4 linked regions of the Drosophila melanogaster genome follow. The protein of the gene in region 1 purifies or fractionates together with the protein of each later gene. This does not show direct contact. Each region holds a gene or a part of one and is shown on either strand. Other genes may lie near its edges. The genes, in order: yki, ex, Leash and brm.

Region 1 (4,963 bases):
GAAACAAAGCTGTGGTGAAAAACCCAAGTCCAACTCTTATCATCTATGAAAGCTGTTGAAAGAATTCAAACGATGACTAGCTTGACATCACGAAAATAAGTAATTCATGCTAAATTAGAAGAATATTTGCAAAAGTGACTCATGGGTAAGCATTGATAAAGAGCGAACGCGAACAGATTCGCAAGCGAATGACACCGATGAGCATGGATGTCTTTGGCTCCACGTAAAGCTGAATCTGCTGGGTCGGTCACAGATCGAACTCAATGAAGCTCATGAATCGCGTGCATTCTGGTCCAAATGCACGCCGCATTCTGGTTACTTGGTTACTTGGCTTGCACTTTACAATAGTCGGGGTATTCGGGTTTCGGCATGAGTCATCGCTGCTGACCACACCTTTCATCCACCTGAACTCTCTCTTCGGCGTTCGAAAGTCATCTGAATCAGATATCTTCTTTTCAATCAGTGCGTTCACTGATCGTCGGAAGCTTTAAAACCCAGAAACAAGGCGCCCAGTAATAATGATAAACACACAAATTCGTTTATGTAAAGAAATACTATAAAATTTGAAAAATATTTAATTTAGAATAATACAAAATATAAAACTTTTAGGTCTAATACAGATGTATACATTGAATTAATTAATTTTATACCATTCCAAATCGTCAGGTTTGTGGGAAGACGGCGGATTTACAATGGCCTGTGCGTCATTGAACAAGTTACTGCAAAGATTATCCTCAATCTGAAAGCGTAAAGTGGGCAAAGTGAGGTAGTGGCGTGGAACTCGGTTCGCCAACTCGGCGGTCGGCAACTGCGAATGCTTACCTGGAGGGAAGACACTAAGTTATCTGGGCAGTCGAGCACGCTAAGCCCAGATTCTGCAAAGATACACGGTAAGGGAAGGCGTTAAGTTAGTAAAGGCGAGGCATGGAGCGATAAGGAGTGTGGAGTGTTCGGCCTCTATCTCAAGATCAGTACTATACTATATAGTGAAAGCAGAGATGCCATGGGAATTACGTGATCGGCCCCCCGCCCACTGCGCACTCAATGTTATCTAGCGATATCGCTACGATATCTGTGTGTCTCGTTGTCTTACGCTAGTCGGGGTGGTGGAACGAGACTTACGCATTCTGGGATCATTCCATGAAGTCGTTCGATCAATGTGATTTATAAAGTAAAGATCTCCGGACTCGGTAACTGCCTGCTCCCAACCATCCGGCAGTGGACCCAAATTGTTAGCAATGGTCGATGTGGTAGTTTGTTTTGTAGTTTGCAAAACATCTATCGAACAAAAACAATGAATTACAAACCAAAGTAAATAAAAACAAATTAAAATATGTCTTCAACGTAATGCTGCAGTGTGTAAGCGGATGAGAACGGAGGGGCACTGGCGCCCAGCATGCAGCACATATCAAAATCAATTGGAGTATGCTCAAAGCAAATCCAATCGAGCTCCCACTTCCGAATGCCAAAATGATCAGACTCCAACCCAATCCCGAAAAGTGCATTGGCGCGCTCAAAATGGACGGAATGGACTCCCTGAAATCGGTTGTGTACTGTGCTGTTCATGCGTTAGTTGGAATGAGTTAGAGCCTATCTTATCCCTGCCTGGTCTCTAGCATTAATTAGTCCTCTGATGGCTGATTTAAGTGGGTTAACAATGAGACGCAGCCACAGGCAGTTAACGACTTGCTTATCTAAGGCATTACATCTAAGATAGAACCTACCATTCTGCTTTATTCGCTCGGCCATCAAGATTTGCTGCTGCTGGCGATATTGGATTCTGGGATCCTCCCACTGCGTAGATTTTGTAGTATGACTGCAAGTAGAGAGAACACCATTGTTGAGATTGCTGTTTTGGGTATTAGTTGAGCTAGTAATGATTAAGAGATAAACTTGAAAGACATCCAACGAAGCCAATGAGATTTCTGTGACTCACAAGAATATTTTAGTTTTCATAAGTTCATAAAGAAGACACGTATTAAATAAAGCTTCATGCATATCATTTTTAAAATCTGCCCAAACTCACTTCAAGTAGTAGATCTGGCCATCATTGGTCTTGGCTTGCTCCCATCCCGGCGGCAAGGCGCCTAGTTGGCGGTTCAACTGAATGGGGCTGATGACGTCGTAGGAGCGCTGCTTCTTGTGCACTGTCTGCATGGACATGGGAATGTCCTGCGACATGCAGGTGTTCATGGCGTCCAGATCAATGGCCGAGCTGGCCGGGGCGCCGCTGGGGAACTCTTGGGCACTGTTCTCTGGGAAAGTGGGCCCAGCGGGCTGCTGTTGGCTGCTCGGATTGGCATTCGGATTGTTGGCTGCTGCTGCGTCGCTCCGGGCGCGCACATTGTAGTTCTGCTGCAGCGAGGCGGGGCTGCTGCGGGCTCGGGAGTGATGTATCGCCAGGCGGCTGTGCTGGGGAGACGGCTGAATCTGGAGCTGGGGGATGGCGGCGATGGGCGACTGGCCATCTGGCTGCTGGACGATGGACGCCTTGTTCCCGATGTTGATGCTCGACTGGGAGCCCGCGTCGTAGGTGGAGTCGGCGCTGTTGGCCCGCGAGTGCGAGGGCGCCGGGGGCGTGAAGAAGGAGTTGGGCAGCTTCCGCATGCGCAGGGGCAGCTGCAGCGGGCGCTTGGCGTCACCCGGATTCAGGACGCTGTCGAATAGCGCCTGCAGGTTGTCGTCCGTGTCCTGGTTGACCCGCACCACCAGGTTGTTGGACTTGATCGGCGAAAGCATGTCCTCGTCGTCGATCTCCTTCTCGATCAGGCTGTTTGTATTGCTGCTGGCTGACATCGTCGTTAACATATAAAAGGCACTTATTGTATACAAACGAAAACTACATAGAATTATCTTAGCGATTAGGCACGCGCACATATATGTTCTTCCATATACGTATCACTCCATCGCGCTGCGCGAAACTATAACATTAAGGTGTTAAAAACTAAACTTCGTTGCAATAAATAATAGTAATAATAATAATTACGGAACTGCCAACATAAAATAAATTTATCCCAGTGTTGCCAGATGGCTATCCCCGTCCACTTGTCCATTCCGATACTAGCGTTCCTCATGTAATCGGCTTCGTGGCTGCACCTGCGGAATGCCAGGGGTATTCCGCAAGCCGATTACGACTTTTGTCGATTTCCTTTAGCTATAGCTAAAGATTTATTCTATATTTTGTAATTAATAAGGCACAAAACAAAGTAGATATTAAATTATGGTGTGTGTATAGCCCACACACTTGTGTTCCATAATATCAGACTATAAATTATTAGACTAACAATTATTATTTATTGGTTTATAACATTTTGTTTAGTGAAAATAAGTACAGGCAAAGGTCTGTCAAAAACACACCCAATAACAATATAAACTGATTGTAAATGTGCCTTGTTGATTTAAGTAATAAGTGCAGGTAAAGGTCTGTCAAAAACACATACCCAATAACAATATAATCTGAATGTAAATGTGCCTTTTTGTTTTCAGTGCACGTTCATTCAACCCTTTTCAAAACGATTGGCAGTGGAACAAGAAGCCGTTCCGTCTCCTGCCCGACCGGAATCGTCCCCTTTCCGTTTGTTCCCCGTAGAGATGAGCGCGGGCCAGGTCTGTGAGCACGAGACAGGTTTTTGACACAGTCAAGGTCCATCGCTAGTTCGGTCTACAGCAAAAAGTATTTTAACATTGTATATATTGGCACGACACAATTCGGAGGCATTTTTCGCTTAACAATAACTAATGTCGCATGACACAAATGTAAAATGATCGCCGTGCTGTTGGACATATTCTGGATCCCCATCGGGGGCTTCCTCTCATTTCTCATATTTATTTCCGCCATAAACAAATCAATCGGCGTCCGAAAAGCGTACGTGAACCTCCTCCTAAGGATATTCGAGGTAAATATTGCTTGCTTTCGTTCCTCAGATGAGTAAGCACCGATTTGAGGTGCTCCACTGCTGCGGTGGCTTTGCAAATGGTGCTGTCTTACCAATAGTTAAGCTATTCCAAAGTCCATAAATATAGTCAGCTTTTGGAGTACGCCATACTACGTCTGCCCTACGCAATTACTGCAATGCAGGCGAGTTCGAGAAACTATTGCTTGCCCGGAAGCTTTAAGTAGATTCTTCGGCTATCCTCAAGGAATCTGCGGGGCAGGAGTGCGCCAGTGCACCCAAGTTGCCGCTTCCCAGACACTTGTAAAGTGCCAGTCATTACCTCGTCCGACGATATGCTTGCGATAATCTTATCTGCAGATAATCCCCGATTCGACTCGTTAACAACTAATCACCTCTACTTTCAGTATGGTCGAGTTAGTATAGAGACAGCATCCAAAGAAAACCAACACATTCAAAATCCCAAGACTGACGACAAACAGGGAGTGCAACTAGTGGACGACGCCGATTCCAAAGAAGGCACCAATGGAGCCACATTGATTACCAGGGACGCGGTACTCCTGCCCCAGCCACAGGAGCCCGCTCCAGAGAAGCCAGTTTCCTCCACAAAGGTAAGGAGTCCGGCATTGCAATGGGCACCTGATTTAAACAACATTTCCCATTTGCAGGATGAAATCAATTTCGATTTTGAGAAATGCCTGGACTACGTAAAGTCTGGCGTGGAGGCCATCATCGAGGACGATGTTACGTCGCGCTTCGAGGCGGAGGAGCTCAAGAGCTGGAACATGCTGACACGCACCAATAGGCACTACGAGTTCATTTCCTGGAAAATCACCTCCATCTGGGTGTTCGGCTTCTTCATCCGCTACGTCATCCTGATGCCCCTCCGGGTATTGGTATGCTTCGTTGGTGTGAGTACATTCGGTTCATTTAGTGGCTTTTCCACAACTACCCGATCGTCCCGATTCCCATGCATGCTACAAATTATCCCAAAGGATACGCTTAAGTAATGTATTCCGCTTTAGACTGGAGAACAGCATCATGCATAGGGATTGGGCTGTCGAGTAGTT
Region 2 (4,874 bases), on another chromosome or scaffold:
GGATCAATGGCAGCTGCTCTTGGCTGAAAGATCACTTTGCCAAAAAAAAAGGCCAGAAATGCGCGCCAATTCCGCAAAAGCGATTCTCTGGACCGGGAGACTGGAGACTGAAATCGACTTCAAGGAATTGCATAAAACATTTTTGGCCGTTCTTTTTTTATTTTTTCACTCTCCTCGCTCAAAACTTCGGCCTCGACCAGGCTCCAAACCTCGCACACACACAAGCACAGATATAGAACGTATGTATATCTACACGATATTGACCAAGAACGTAGTTCCCAAAAGGCTGCTTACAGCAACAACAACAACCGGTCTTAGAGAACCAGCGACCAAGCGATCGACCAAAGACGAAAGAATAACGAACAGCCACAAAACAAAAAAAAAAAACAAGAATGAAAAGCTTGGGCTTCAAGTCGAAGATGGAAGTACTCTAGATCTCTTGTAGTCAGACTGATCCGGTGGGTAACAAACTACCTTTACTCAAATTCCCTTACACCATAGGCTTGTCAATAGAGAAATTTTCAAAATTTGTCCCAGGAGTGGCATGTACTTTTTTTGAAACCTACAAACCTTTTTTAATTCTTCCCGTTGTATCCCAAACAGGGTATAGCAGACACCACAACGCAAAGTACACTCAAAGAAATCAAAGGCTGTGCGAGTTGTTCCCATCGAAACCCCGCCTCACCGGAATGTCTCGCCCAATTTCTACCCCTGCCCCACCACTTCCCTGACTTCAGTCAACAAGTTATGTCCATGGCAAGACGACCCGACCCCGACCCCTTGACTCTCCAATTCTGAGTCTTCGACTTTTGGCCGGGTCTTCAGGGGCGTAGCGAGGGTTTGGCACCGGGGCACAACTTCGATCATCATTATATAGTCTTTTGGTTGTGTTTAGTTACGATTTTTATATCATTTAGACTTTTTTCCATATAATCTAAATTTTGTTTTCTGTGGATTTTTCTAAGTAGCCCCTTGGACGAACTGGTTAAAACCTTACTTGGCTTACACTGATCCCCGCCCTTTCGTGGGGCGTGTGTATGCCGCATATTTGAAGCAAATGATGGTTGAAGAGGTGGAGGAGGGGAAATGAAAAGGAGGAAATCTAAAGAAGAGAAAAAGAGGGAAGAGGGAGCAAAAAGAATCCAGCAAATCAAGCTCACATTATGCTGAGGAATGCGCCCAAGTGACGATATCGTAGCAGCAGAGGACGCCGATAGAGGCAGAGTCTTCAGACCCTCAAGTTCCGATTCCGATTCTCCCTCGTCCAGTGCATCTGTATCTGGAGTTTTGCCCAGAGAGTTTATTTATAAGATAGTCGCATCGATGGCTAGCGCAGGGATACTGAAAGCTAGATTTGAATCCAATAGGCTTCCGCCATAGTTTGGCAAAAAGTGAATGCCAAAAGATAGAACTCATAATGTAATTGTAATATACAATGTAAACTACAAGATAGCATGTGATAAAAAGCAGAATTAGAAAGAAAGGTACCTTTGTTAAAATTCTCATATGCATTTTACTTAAATCTGCTATCCTAACAGGGTATCCTTTAAGCCCTTGAGAATCGGAATCGTCGTCTCGCGAGATAAGCCATTGGAATTCCACTACTCACACGGACGCACACACTATGTAGTTGGCTACTGGGATTCTCCTTTGAAGTTTGTTTTTCTTTTATTGCTTATTGCTATTTACATTTTCGTAGCCGTTGTTGTTGTTGCCATCGGGTTTGTGTATCGCTGTGTGCGCTTCTTTCGAATTCGAATTCTCTCTTGGGCTCTCTTTTCGTTAAACGCGGCTTCGTTAAGTTTTAACGAAATCTCGACTCGATCTTCGTTGTGTTCGGTTTCGCTGAGCAGGGGCAAAATCAGTATATCGCTAAACGTCAACGGTAACCGAACAGATCGTCGGGACAGCAAAGCATGTGCTTTCCACTGGGAAATATAAATTCGGTTTAATGAATTTATTCGAGACCTAACATTCGGAAAAGTTGTTCTTCAGATCTTAAATGCACACCGCACGCACACCAGATCGCCCAGACACACACAGAGCTACACAGATTCAGTTGCTTAAAGTGAAGTTCGGTTTTCACTGAAACAAAAACAGCGCGCTTCGTTTTCGCACTCGCCTCAATTACAAAAGTGATTTTTGTTGGTGTTGGTGCAACTAGTTCTGATTTTGGGAAAACGCGCCTTAAAACCACGAAAATATCTACGACTAGTAGTGTAAAAAAGCTGAAGTCAACTCCGAAAAGTTGGTGCTGGTCAAAAAGAAAAAATTCAGCCGCAACAACAACTGCCCACTGGAAACTACAACTACAACAAATAAAGCAGTCAGCAACAGCAAAAACAACAACCCAGCAAACGGCATTCTTTCGCGCAACAACAACGACTCCACGCACACAGATACTCTCAGTTGCGCTCGCCCGCGTGTGCAATTGTTCTGGTGTTAGTGAGTTTTGATTAAAGTATGTGCGACGCTGGAATGCGACCCGATCGCTGTTGACTGCGCAGTCGCAGCGCGCGTCGTGGAAGTGGAAGAGGTCAGAAAGTAACAACAACGAAACGAAAATTTTACTGTTAGGCACTTATCGATAGCCAAATCAATAGATCGGTTTTAAGAGTGCACGAAGAGTGAGCTTTAGTTAAACAAAACTACCAAACCAAAATTAAAAAGCCAGTTATTGTGGATTACGCGAAACCGAAACAGAAGCAGATACAGATACAGCATTAACAATGCCGACTTCTGCAGCGGCTTAAGGTAAGAAAAGGACAGATACACGTGCAGATATAGAGTGGTGTACCCATATGGGGCCATTTCCCCGGAATTTTAATGACTCCCTGAAAACGGCAAACAAAACAAATGCCAGCAAATTTCTTATCTGTCAACCATAAAATCGCCAACGTCCAACGATTGTTTAACATTTCGTTGTTGTCGCCAGCTTTTTTCTTTAAATTTTTTTTTTTGCGTCCCGCTAAGAGTCAAAAATTCAGCGAATTGTGCAATTAACCCATTTCGGGCCATGGAATATCAAATGTCAGTCAAACTTGACACTCTACGGAGGGTATATTGAAATGGGGAAGCTGTTTAGAGTACTATTGTGTCAAATATATATGTACATTCACATGTGCATACATATGTAGTTATATAGTAGGCCTGACCGACTTTTTAAATACCGGTCACATTTAATTAATTTTTTTTGACATTTTCTATGCGGCCCTAAAGTATCTTTGCACAGGGTTTCACTTATCTCGGGATCCAATTTCCAAGTGAGCTAGTCAATTTGATAGGTTCTATGGCTAATAGGCGACTTAAACGGTTGTCAGAACGATCGACGGCGATGCAATTAAGTGAAAATGGAAGCTCCACAGAGTTCTATTGTTATTCCCGGGTTTGGAATTTCAACCGTCCATCGGGATCCCTGGAACAATTGCTGAAATCAGAAACCGCTTGGCAATCAGACATCTTGAATGTAAATCAGCGAAAGATAAACAAACGGGTGAAAACACACGCTTTGGGTATCAGTCGATAAGCTTTAAGCGGTTAAACGCTAATCGTTAAACGATTTTGCCACCAGGCAATCATATACATATGGGTAACTGTATCTGCGGACAGACGTATCTATATCTCGGCAAGTACACATGTATTCCCCGGATCGTAGTTTTAGTTCGCTTGTGGTTTTTTCGATTGAGCACTGACGTCTACATCTCCATCTCCGTGCGTATCTCTTGATCTCCACATCACACTTGACCTCAGGCAATGGGCTTTTGCATTGAAGCTGACAACAGCAACAGCAATGATCATACAAACTCAAAATATTAATTTCGTAAACTGAAATTCCTGCACGCAGTTGATATGCGTGTGCGAACATTGAAAACTCTGGTTGCTCATTGCCTCGAACAATTCAGGCAATTAAAATGTACAACAAATTAAACAAATTTCGAATGACAATCGGAGTCGAGGCTGGCTCAGAGATATAGAGGATACACTAATGAACGACCTTCGAGGATTAAAAAAATGTACTTATCTCTATGCTCGTAAAAAAATATTGTTTCAACAACATATTGCCAGATAGGCAAAAACTTAAAAGCCTCTTTACTTAGAATTGGTCAAAGAATTATTCTAGCCATAATCAAAATACCTTAAACTTTAGAATTATTGGTTACTCGTATTATAGCGCATTCATTTAACCCAAGATACCCTGTATGGACTGCTAATTTTTCTACGGTATTATGGCAGCATAGTTTCGCACGCCTCCGATTTGGCATGCGGCACACGTTGCGGCTTCTTTTTTGTTTTTGTATCTTGCTGTTTGCTGCTCTCATTGTGGAGGCCATCGCCTCCGCCACCGTTACCACCTTCGTTCGCCCAGTTGGGCATTTCGCGTCTGCGGGGTGTGGTGCGCAGTGGAGGAGAGTGGTGCGATGTGGTGCGATTTTGTGGTGCCTAGCCAACTGAAGCCGAGCGACGACGTGTGGGCTGCTTTCTTTTGGCCCACTCCGCCCTGGCTGCTCCTCACAGCTATCCAGCCAACCGAGCAAGCGACCATTTTCATTATTATCATCGGCGGTCGGCGGGGACATTTCACGCATTTCAAAGACATCAAATTGTTTGGCCATAACTGGCACAACAAGTGGAATTCCGCAGCTCGGAATTCGGCATTTGCCGCTTTGCTGTTTTATTTCTCAGTCGCTTGTTCCCTGATTTCTGTTTTCTCCTATTCGATATTCGCAGTTTGGCAAAGAGACGACGAGTTATTTGGCGATTTGATGGCACACTAAGCCCGGCATACAGAAAACTGCTTTCATAATTACTTGCGATGATTTCAATTCAAAACAATATATATTATCCACATAATGCTTTAAAGGTGTCTGGAGTTC
Region 3 (4,628 bases), on another chromosome or scaffold:
GCTTTAGCGAAAACTATGACCTTCATCACCTCTGTATCAAACAATTGTGGCGTGCTTGATAGTCTTATCGCCCATAAAAGTAGTCGAGTATGGTCAACTGAAATAATTTTGGTTTTACTGCCAAGATTATATGTTATTGACCCTAAATCAAAATATAAAAACAGATCCTATATTAAATAGATAAACCGAATTTTTTTATCATATCATATTAAATTTAACCATGTATCAATTCAATTTTTTGTCTTGCAGCTCAAGGAGAGGTTGAAGAACTAGAGCTTAGACATGTTTACGAAAATCTTTCGCGCTGTGATAATCGGAGCCCCCGGCTCGGGCAAAGGAACTATTTCGGAATTGATCTGCAAGAACCATGGATGTGTGCACATCTCCACGGGGGACATTCTGCGCCAGAACATCATAAAAAACACAGAACTTGGAAAAAAGGCCAAGCAGTACATTGCTGAAGGTAAACTGGTGCCCGACGCGATTGTGACCAAGACGATGCTGGCCCGGATAACCGAGGTAGGCAACAGGTCGTACATCCTAGACGGATTCCCGCGCAATATAGCCCAGGCCGAGGCACTGGCTGCACGCGAGCAAATCGATGCCGTGATCACGCTGGACGTTCCACATAGTGTGATTATCGACCGGGTCAAGAATCGCTGGATCCATGCGCCCTCCGGCAGGGTGTACAATATTGGCTTCAAGAATCCCAAAGTGCCTGGCAAAGATGATGTGACGGGGGAGCCGCTGATGCAACGCGAAGATGATAAACCCCATGTGGTGGCCAAGCGACTGGAGCTCTACGATGAGGTGATGAGCCCGGTAATAGCCTGGTACGAAAAGAAGGGTCTGGTTGCCACTTTCAAGGGAAAACAGACAAAGGAGATCTGGCCGATGATGGAGCTTTTCCTCAACGACCGCATAAATGCGTAATGGAGCAACCCCGAAATTACATCCAATGTGCACAAACTAACGATAAACTGCTGTGTTCAATTAAGTGCATAATATATTTAGATATATATAAATGAATACGTATGAAATATGTATGTTTGTGGGCCGGTTAAGAGGAACAGGCGTATAATTAATGTAATTGCGAAGCCTTACACAGTAGCAGCTGTCATGTATTCCTTCTTCCACAGATATCATTCCCCTCATGAGCATGTCTTGCAGCTCCCCCCTTTTTTGTATAAACATATTTTTGTACTCGTATTCTGTGCTCTGATAATAAATCGCGTTTTTTATATATATAAATATATATATATATGCGCTGATAACAGCCGACTTTGACTTTTGGGCAGTTAACGGACAGCCGTCGATCTATTTTTAGGCAATGTCCACAAACCCTTGGCCCCATGCGTGAAGCCAACACTTTTAGCTTCACCTCATGACACCCAAATGCCCTTCATTTTATCGCGTAGCGCATTAATTTCTAAAAAATATGGGATAGTGTGGCGCTCCCGTTTAGTCTCGCGCTCTCTTACTCACACATGCACGGACCAGCTGCTGTTCTCACGCACACCTGTATAGTGGCAAATCACAACAGAGAGGCGCTTGTACAGTCAAGGGCGCCCAATTATGTCAGATTTAAAATTCTTTAAGTCATTTATAAAAAATTCAATAAACCACTTATTGTTTTAAAGGTATACTTCATAATAAAATGGAGATAGCTGTTTGCCTTTTAAACACTATACTTCGGAATATACCATTACTGGGAATCTTATTTCTGGATAATTAAAAAAAAAAACCTATATAAACCCCTTTGTGGCCACCACTGTGCTGCGAGCGCCCTCTCACCTCTCTCTCATTTAGACCCGACTTGCGCTTGGCCCAATATTACGGCTTTTTCGGCACGCCAACTGAGTGTGCCTCTCTTCGCACATGCCCCCACCGTCTACACTCCCCTCTCGCGCGATGCGTTTGGGTTGGCATTTCCTGAAACAAATGCCAGTACTCAAGAATCGTGAAGAACGAAAAGAAATTCAATTGCAATTGCAACGGGCGGCAATTGAAAGCTTATCGATGAATGAAAGGCGAGCGCCGAAGGCAATTAGAGGAATTTGCGAGCAAGAATCTCGAAATTGCGGTGAAGCGGAGGGGGAGGAAGCCCCATAAAATGGCCGCTGTGCTTTGTTAACTGATGGAGTTCTTTGTTTATGCGAATGGGGCCGCAACGAAAGTCCAGCTGACCATCGGGCGGACAATGGATTGCAAACCGCTGACAAAACAGAAAAAAGCACATTTCTATTTGTGGAGTACATGATGGGTTGTGCAGAAAACCATCTTTGTTAATATTAGATTACTATATCTAAGCTAAATCTTTTCGGTAATACGATCTATATGTACACATGTAAACAATACCCAGAATCATAAACTAAGAGCCTAACGTTAAATGTAGGGTTTTGAAACACTTTCTCTGCGTGTCTACAGCTGAGTCATGGATGATGCAAGCCGAGCTTTGAGATGTGCATTCCAGGAAGCGGCAAGTTATGCTCGACTGGCACTTACCGCGTATTTTGGTGCGCTTGTTGACGTTCATCCAGATCTCGCCGCGAATTATGTCGCCCGCAAAGTAAACCCGATCCGCGCTGTCCAGCGTGATTCGCAGCCGCTCGCTTTCCATTCCGCTGGCGTTGATGGTGATGACTCCTCCGGTTTGGCCACTTTCCTCACGCACTTATCCAAAAATAATTTCGTCATCAAAATGCCGCCACATACAAACGTACATGGATGCACTGCAGCACCACGGCCCGCACCACCCTAAAGTATATGCAGAATAGTAGCACCACCACACGCACTCGCCTCACGATTTACGATTTGATGTTACTACACACACCGCGCGGTGAGTGGGAGCTTTTTCGCGCTGATTGTGGCCAGTTCTTGGGGAATCTCGATATCCATCAATTCGCAATGGCCCACAAGTGTTGGTCGCACACCCCGGGCTAATTTAATTCGATTGCTGTCGTCCGCTGGCGGGTTGAATAATTAAATTTCTTATAAATTTACGAGATCCGTGAGTTACGCTTTTTTGTTGTAGCTGCAGCTCTCTTTCGATAACCGTGAGAGCGGCGGTCCGATAGCACGAACAGCTGTTGCGCGGTGCTGCCACCGGGCGCCTGGCCAGCTGAAGCGGTTAATTCGCAGACTTTTTAATCGGTATTTTCAAATGTGTCTAATTTAAAGTTTAAGTTCTAAACAGCGTTTCTTAAATGCACTGTTTTCAGTTGTAATGCAAGAGTTCAGAAATGCTTGGTAGTAATGGTCTTTTTTTATGGTTTGATGTTTGAAAAGAGAAGAAGAAACTCTCTGTTTGAATATCGCCAATAATTTAAGTTGATATATTTCACTACGAATAATAATTACCAAATATTTTACTGTATAGATAACAAAACGCTCAGCTTAGATGTCAGCGATGATTGAAGCATACATACATATTTTATTAAGATTAAACTTTAGTTGGCTTAGCAGCATAATGCTCCATATAGTATTTCGTGTGCTTCCCCGTTCTGTCCTTCGCTTCTTCTTCTTGTAACCTCTCGCGCACAAAAGTTTGCTTCTCGGTTCTTCGGTCTCACCAAAGACTTTTGAGAATTCAGTATTAAGCCAGAGCTGCTCGCGTTCGGAGCTTGCGAGCTGAGTCGCCGGAACCCTCGAATACATCGAATCCCTACCTCTTCCACCAACTATCAATAAAACAAACAAAGGAACTTGATAGCGCGATACCACCCGACACCGTCGCCAAGGAGCCAATTCTGGACAGGATGAGCAGCAAGGTGAACTTCGTCTTCGACAGCAATCCTTTGGGGCTCTATCAAGCCGGTCAGCTTATCTCCGGCACGGCGGAACTGATTACGGAGCGCCCCAAGACGATTCGATGTAAGTGACACCGACATGCGGAAGAAGACGCACTACATACATATGTATTCTAATGGACTCGAAACCATGACGTCATCCCCCTCCATCACCATTCAAATTCTGAATCCCATACCGTTTTACCATCCACTAATAAATAAATATCCACTTAATATTGTTGGTGCTTTGTTATCCGCTGGTTTAATGTTATTGTTGCCGGTAGATATGCTTGAAAGATGTGTATTGTATATACAAATGTACATATATGTATGTATACATAAAGTTTATATACAACACACATGTGGCCGCTTGGCTGGCTGGCGGATATCTGATAGCGGCGTAAAAACTAGTTTTGTTTTGAAATTGCGTACGCTGTTTGTATTATTAGATATTTGATTCAGTTACTGGTCAGCCCGTTCGTGCCAATACCTTTAAATTGTAGTGTATAGGTAGCATTTTGGGTCAATTAGGCGTAATTCATGCAGATATACATATATATATAAATTTATACAAATCCCATTAGCAAGCTAAGTGGACCCTAGCCATCGGTTCAAATTCAAATAATCAAATATTTCCTAGGGTATCAAATAGTCGAGCCTTAGCAGCGCTTTAATTTGATGGTGAACTTTATTAGGTAGCATTCGTTTTTTTTATGCTTCTGATTAAATTATTGTTAGTTCATTAACAAAGACAGTTGTTTGTAGCTGAGCAATTTTCCAATACAATTCTACATCCGAAACACACAAAAGGTCCAAGGTCAATGGCAATTAAACTAAATG
Region 4 (4,628 bases), on another chromosome or scaffold:
AATACGAATATGTTTAATGATAAGCATAAAAGCAAAGTTTAAAGATTATAAGACAAGTGATTGATCTTTATAATACAGTTACGATCAATTTTAACATAATATCTGCAAGGTTTCTCTGAGTATTATGACTTGCAGCTCGAGTGTGTAAATCATCCAATAATAAAGTCTGAGAGCGTCGAAAAATGCTGATAAAAACGGGTTTTACAACTATTTGACTGGCTGTCTGTGTGGAGATAAAAAAGAGTATGTCTATTTGTGTACATCAAACCAATTGAGATAAAACAGAGGCACGCAGCCAGGTGAGCTGCCAATTTTTAGTACACCCCTATGGGGCGATGTCGCAGCGATCATAAAAACGCGAGGCAGGCAAACAATCATAGAACGAGTGAATTGTAACCGAACCGCAAGCACTTCTCCAGCGCCAGCGCCAGCTAGACAAAATCAGCCGGAGCGTGGAGCTTCTCCCAGTGGGGTGCAATCTCTCCGATTAGTTGACATCGCGAGCTGAGCAGCGACGGATCGTTTTTTGCCCAAAGGAATACGCATAGAAGCAAGATGGCAGGAGTAAGTCAAGCTGATATCGAGGAGTTGTACAACTTTATCCATCCCCTGGCCATCAAAGCGGGCGAGATCCTCATGGAGGGCTACGAGATGGCCAGTAAAAACGTCTCAATCAAAGGCGATTTCTACGACGTGGTCACCGACTACGACAACAAGATTGAGGACTTTCTCATGGAGAAAATATTGGCCAGATACCCGGATCACAAGTTCATCGGCGAGGAGGAGACGGCTAAGAACAACAACGTGTCCGGAGAGCTGACGAATGCTCCCACCTGGATCATAGATCCCATCGATGGAACTTCGAACTTTATCAAGCAGATTCCACACGTTTGCGTTTCAATCGGTTTGGCAATCAACAAACAAATCGTAGTGGGAGTAATCAACAATCCTGTCCAGAAAAAGCTCTTCACAACGAAACTGGGCCAAGGCGCCTTTTGCAATGGCAAACCAATCCACGTGAGCAGCTGCGAGAGCGTTAAGGATGCCAATGTGGCCTACGAAGTGTCCCTGCTGCATGTCCATTCGGTGGCCAACAAGCATATCAAAAGGATCTACCATGTGGGATTGAATGCTAGACGGTAAGTAAATCATTTATAAATTTGAATCTATTTCGCAAAACTAAATCCCGTTGATATAGTGGGTAAAAATCTGTGAAATTAACAAAACAAAAGTATCTGAGTACTAAGCAATTAACCAGTCACTGCTAAATGAAAAGCTTTAATTGCCTTTTGTTCTCGAAGATAATTAAAAAGATTTTAAAGCTTTTTAAAAAGAAATTACCCCTTACAAAATATTGCATAAATCCACAGACTTGTTGCCTACTCCTGTGTGGTGGATGAGCTGTGCATGGTGGCCGCTGGCAATCTGGATGCCTTCTACATTGAGGACATGTATCCCTGGGATTGTGCCGCCGGCTCCCTGTTGGTTAAGGAGGCGGGAGGCGTGGTAACACATCCCTTTGGCGGACCATTCGACATAATGAAGCCGGATCTAATCTGCGCCGGCACAGAGAAGTTGCGCAAGGAGATCGAAGACCTTCTGCGTAAGGGAGACCAGGAGGAGTCCGTGGGAGGGAAGCCGGTGCAGAAGTAATTTAGGCAAGGCAACAACGATCTTAATTGAAAAGCTTGGGGTCAGCTGCACTGCCAATTGGCGCTCGAAGCTCTGCTAATGGGGAGCTTTCGGATATATTCCAGCTTTAATCGCCGGCAGCTGTTCCACGATACACGTCAAAAAGGCGGGAAAGCCCGTCAATCTTGAGACTTTGAAAAACAACACCGTATGATACCATAATTTTAAGCATTTAGCTGGCAAACAACTTAATATACAGATTACCTACTTGGAAATTTAGTATTTCTATACTTATTCACAAAGTTTCACGAATTTCGTATTGTTTATACCTTTTTCATATAGCATCCCTCAGAAAAATGTTAGTCTAACATGGAATTTAGATATTTATGTACCCATATCTGTATATAGAGTAAAGTAAATAAAGAAATTTAAAGAAATCCTTAATCTACCGTTTAGAATACTATGTAGATTTTATAGGATCTTTTACAAACGTATTAAGTATTTTAAAAACTTGCTAATTACTGATTATAAAAATTTTGAAAGTATCGATGGAAATATTTTCAATGTTTGCACTGAGCTACTGTTTGTCCAGATGGCATAGATTTGATTTGAGAACTGAGACATCTAAGTAGGCTTACTATTTTGATTCCTACGGCTAGACTTGGGGGTCACTTACATTGGGTGGCATTCCGTGGGTTTGGTAGGGGGACATGTTCGGTCCCGTCGGCGGCATCTGCATTCCCATGTGCGGACCTTTTGAGAAAACTACGGATAATTACGTGTGACTGGAGCGATTGGTGTTGGGTTGTTTAAGAACATACTCATCCCCTGGTGGTGCGGTGGCATATGATGCCCGGGTGGACCCTGGCCGGGTGGTCCGTGCTGCATGGGATGTCCGTAGGCACCGGGATGTCCGGGTGGCGGAGGTCCTTGCAGTGGACCCGGCTGCTGGTGCGGATACGGGCTGTGCGGCGAGGGGGCGGGACTCTGCGAGGGCGGGGCCATCGGACTGGGCGCCTGTGGCGGTGGCATGGGACTGTTCGCCGGAGAGGGCGAGGCCATATTGCAGCTCCTTTCTTGACTTTATCCAATAGCGATATCCAGCAACTGGTGCAGCCTAATCTGCAGATGGAACACACGTCAATGCACTGTATTTACCAACATTAAAGAAGCTATAGCCACGATATGTAATCGTAGCTACCGTTTTGTGTGCCTCTTTTGGCACACTTTTTCGCGCAGCCCGGTGCAAACCCAAAATAACGGCTAAAGATACGCCAAATCGGCCGAAATCAACTGCACGCTAATCGCACGCGAAGAACGCAATCGGATTGCTCCATTTGGCACCGAAAGTATTACCTATTAGCACTGTTTTCAGAAGGTTTTCTTCTCTTTTCACAACGCGACGCGACGGCAAAACTCTAATGGCGGCCGTCTCTATAACAAAAGTCACGCAAGGGTGGCAACTCTGTGAACCGGCAATAAAGGTGGGCGCGTTCAGCACAAGTCACTGTGAATATTTTTATAATTAATCTGTATGCACTCCTTAAAATGGTATTTATTTAAATTTAATTAATGATATTAAACGTTTTTTTAAAGTTATTAAAATGTTATTTTTTACAAAAATATATTCGTGCTGAACGCACGCTGTGACACGTCATGTTCGCGTGACCTGCGAATGGCAAAAACGAAACCATTCTCCAGCCCAAAAAAAAGTGAAAACAAGACTTCTGCGATTTTGTATTAATTGTAGCACCACATACAATTAACTAGGTTTACTAAACTTAAGCATTTAGAGGCAGCGCCAGCACTAGACAAAGTTCAGCCGTAATCATGGGTTTGTACAGCACGGAGCATGGACGTGGGGAACCTCCCCGTTCCGGCGACACCCGGTGACGAAGTCTGGTCATAAAAATCATACGTTCTTCTTCCAGGTGGGGTGCTCAGCTACTTTCGCGGACTGCTCGGCTCCCGGGAGATGCGCATCTTGATCCTGGGCCTGGACGGCGCCGGCAAGACCACGATCCTCTACAGACTGCAGGTGGGCGAGGTGGTCACCACGATACCCACCATCGGCTTCAACGTGGAGCAGGTCACCTACAAGAACCTCAAGTTCCAGGTCTGGGATTTGGGCGGACAGACAAGTATTAGGTGAGTTGGTTACACGAGAGCAGTATTGTGATGGCATTACCCAAGTCTTATTTAATATCTAGAAGACATATTTTCGGTTGTAGTTTAGTAAGCCTTTTGGGTTTCCAAAAAGCCATTATAATTGTAGCTGATAAGATAGGAAACATCTGCATCCACAACTTAACTTAAAATAGCTAATAGTTCTTTCTTTAGGCAGGCTACGTACATATATCTATTTGGCCTTTAAGAATGGTAATCCTAATCTCAATTCGTGCTATTTCCATTATAGACCTTATTGGCGTTGCTACTACAGCAACACGGACGCAATCATCTATGTGGTGGACTCGGCGGACCGGGACCGCATTGGCATCTCCAAGGACGAGCTGCTGTACATGCTGCGTGAGGAGGAGCTGGCCGGCGCGATACTGGTCGTCCTGGCGAACAAGCAGGACATGGACGGATGCATGACCGTCGCCGAGGTCCATCATGCGTTAGGACTGGAGAACCTAAAGAACCGCACATTTCAAATATTCAAAACGTCGGCCACCAAGGGCGAGGGACTCGACCAGGCCATGGACTGGCTGTCCAACACCCTGCAGAGTCGCAAGTAGATACTTAGCCAGTCCTCAGACCCCCAGATCCCTGTGTAAAAAATGTGTGTCCAAAGCATCGCCAGCTAGGGAACGTCAACAGCTTTTTTCAAATTGCAGATTGCGCAAAAAATCCACGAACCGAAAGAAACTTTGTAATAACTTCTAGTAATATAATTATTAAATTATAGGATTAAACAATTCATTAAACTCATGCAATGGTTACCACTCGGCCAGGCCGAATCGCAACACCCGCTTCTCCTGATTGTCCAGATCCAT

The links.
Region 2: the proteins of yki (region 1) and ex purify together in Drosophila melanogaster (affinity purification with western blotting; 4 studies listed by BioGRID, with this or other methods). This does not show direct contact.
Region 3: the proteins of yki (region 1) and Leash purify together in Drosophila melanogaster (affinity purification with western blotting; 3 studies listed by BioGRID, with this or other methods). This does not show direct contact.
Region 4: the proteins of yki (region 1) and brm purify together in Drosophila melanogaster (affinity purification with western blotting; 3 studies listed by BioGRID, with this or other methods). This does not show direct contact.

The regions. Positions count from the first base shown.
Region 1 is NT_033778.4:24,065,439-24,070,401, forward strand, and holds yki (yorkie), read right to left. Parts: upstream 3,048-4,963; 5' UTR 2,878-3,047; coding exon 2,027-2,877; intron 1,817-2,026; coding exon 1,725-1,816; intron 1,279-1,724; coding exon 1,123-1,278; intron 876-1,122; coding exon 823-875; intron 740-822; coding exon 635-739; 3' UTR 537-634; downstream 1-536. Other genes in the region: Gpat4 (Glycerol-3-phosphate acyltransferase 4), read left to right, coding at 3,762-3,896, 4,301-4,504, 4,562-4,804. UniProt on the Drosophila melanogaster protein: Transcriptional coactivator which is the critical downstream regulatory target in the Hippo/SWH (Sav/Wts/Hpo) signaling pathway that plays a pivotal role in organ size control and tumor suppression by restricting proliferation and promoting apoptosis.
Region 2 is NT_033779.5:429,364-434,237, forward strand, and holds the start of ex (expanded), read left to right. Parts: upstream 1-1,863; 5' UTR 1,864-2,754; intron 2,755-4,874. UniProt on the Drosophila melanogaster protein: Activates the Hippo/SWH (Sav/Wts/Hpo) signaling pathway, a signaling pathway that plays a pivotal role in organ size control and tumor suppression by restricting proliferation and promoting apoptosis.
Region 3 is NT_033777.3:10,883,965-10,888,592, reverse strand, and holds the start of Leash (leash), read right to left. Parts: upstream 3,054-4,628; 5' UTR 2,621-3,053; coding exon 2,506-2,620; intron 1,249-2,505; exon of another isoform or gene 934-1,248; coding exon of another isoform or gene 283-933; exon of another isoform or gene 250-282; intron 1-249. Other genes in the region: Ak3 (adenylate kinase 3), read left to right, coding at 283-933; CG14696 (uncharacterized protein), read left to right, coding at 3,759-3,873.
Region 4 is NT_037436.4:15,979,815-15,984,442, forward strand, and holds the start of brm (brahma), read right to left. Parts: upstream 3,056-4,628; 5' UTR 2,989-3,055; exon of another isoform or gene 2,755-2,988; 5' UTR 2,695-2,754; coding exon 2,454-2,694; intron 2,398-2,453; coding exon of another isoform or gene 2,386-2,397; coding exon 2,309-2,385; intron 2,075-2,308; exon of another isoform or gene 1,654-2,074; coding exon of another isoform or gene 1,371-1,653; intron 1,140-1,370; coding exon of another isoform or gene 556-1,139; exon of another isoform or gene 286-555; intron 191-285; exon of another isoform or gene 1-190. Other genes in the region: CG17027 (uncharacterized protein), read left to right, coding at 556-1,139, 1,371-1,653; Arl1 (ADP ribosylation factor-like 1), read left to right, coding at 3,463-3,466, 3,564-3,780, 4,049-4,370; PolD1 (DNA polymerase delta subunit 1), read right to left, coding at 4,572-4,628. UniProt on the Drosophila melanogaster protein: Transcriptional regulator. Acts as a coactivator, assisting one or more dedicated transcriptional activators of ANTC and BXC homeotic gene clusters. Can counteract the repressive effect of Polycomb protein.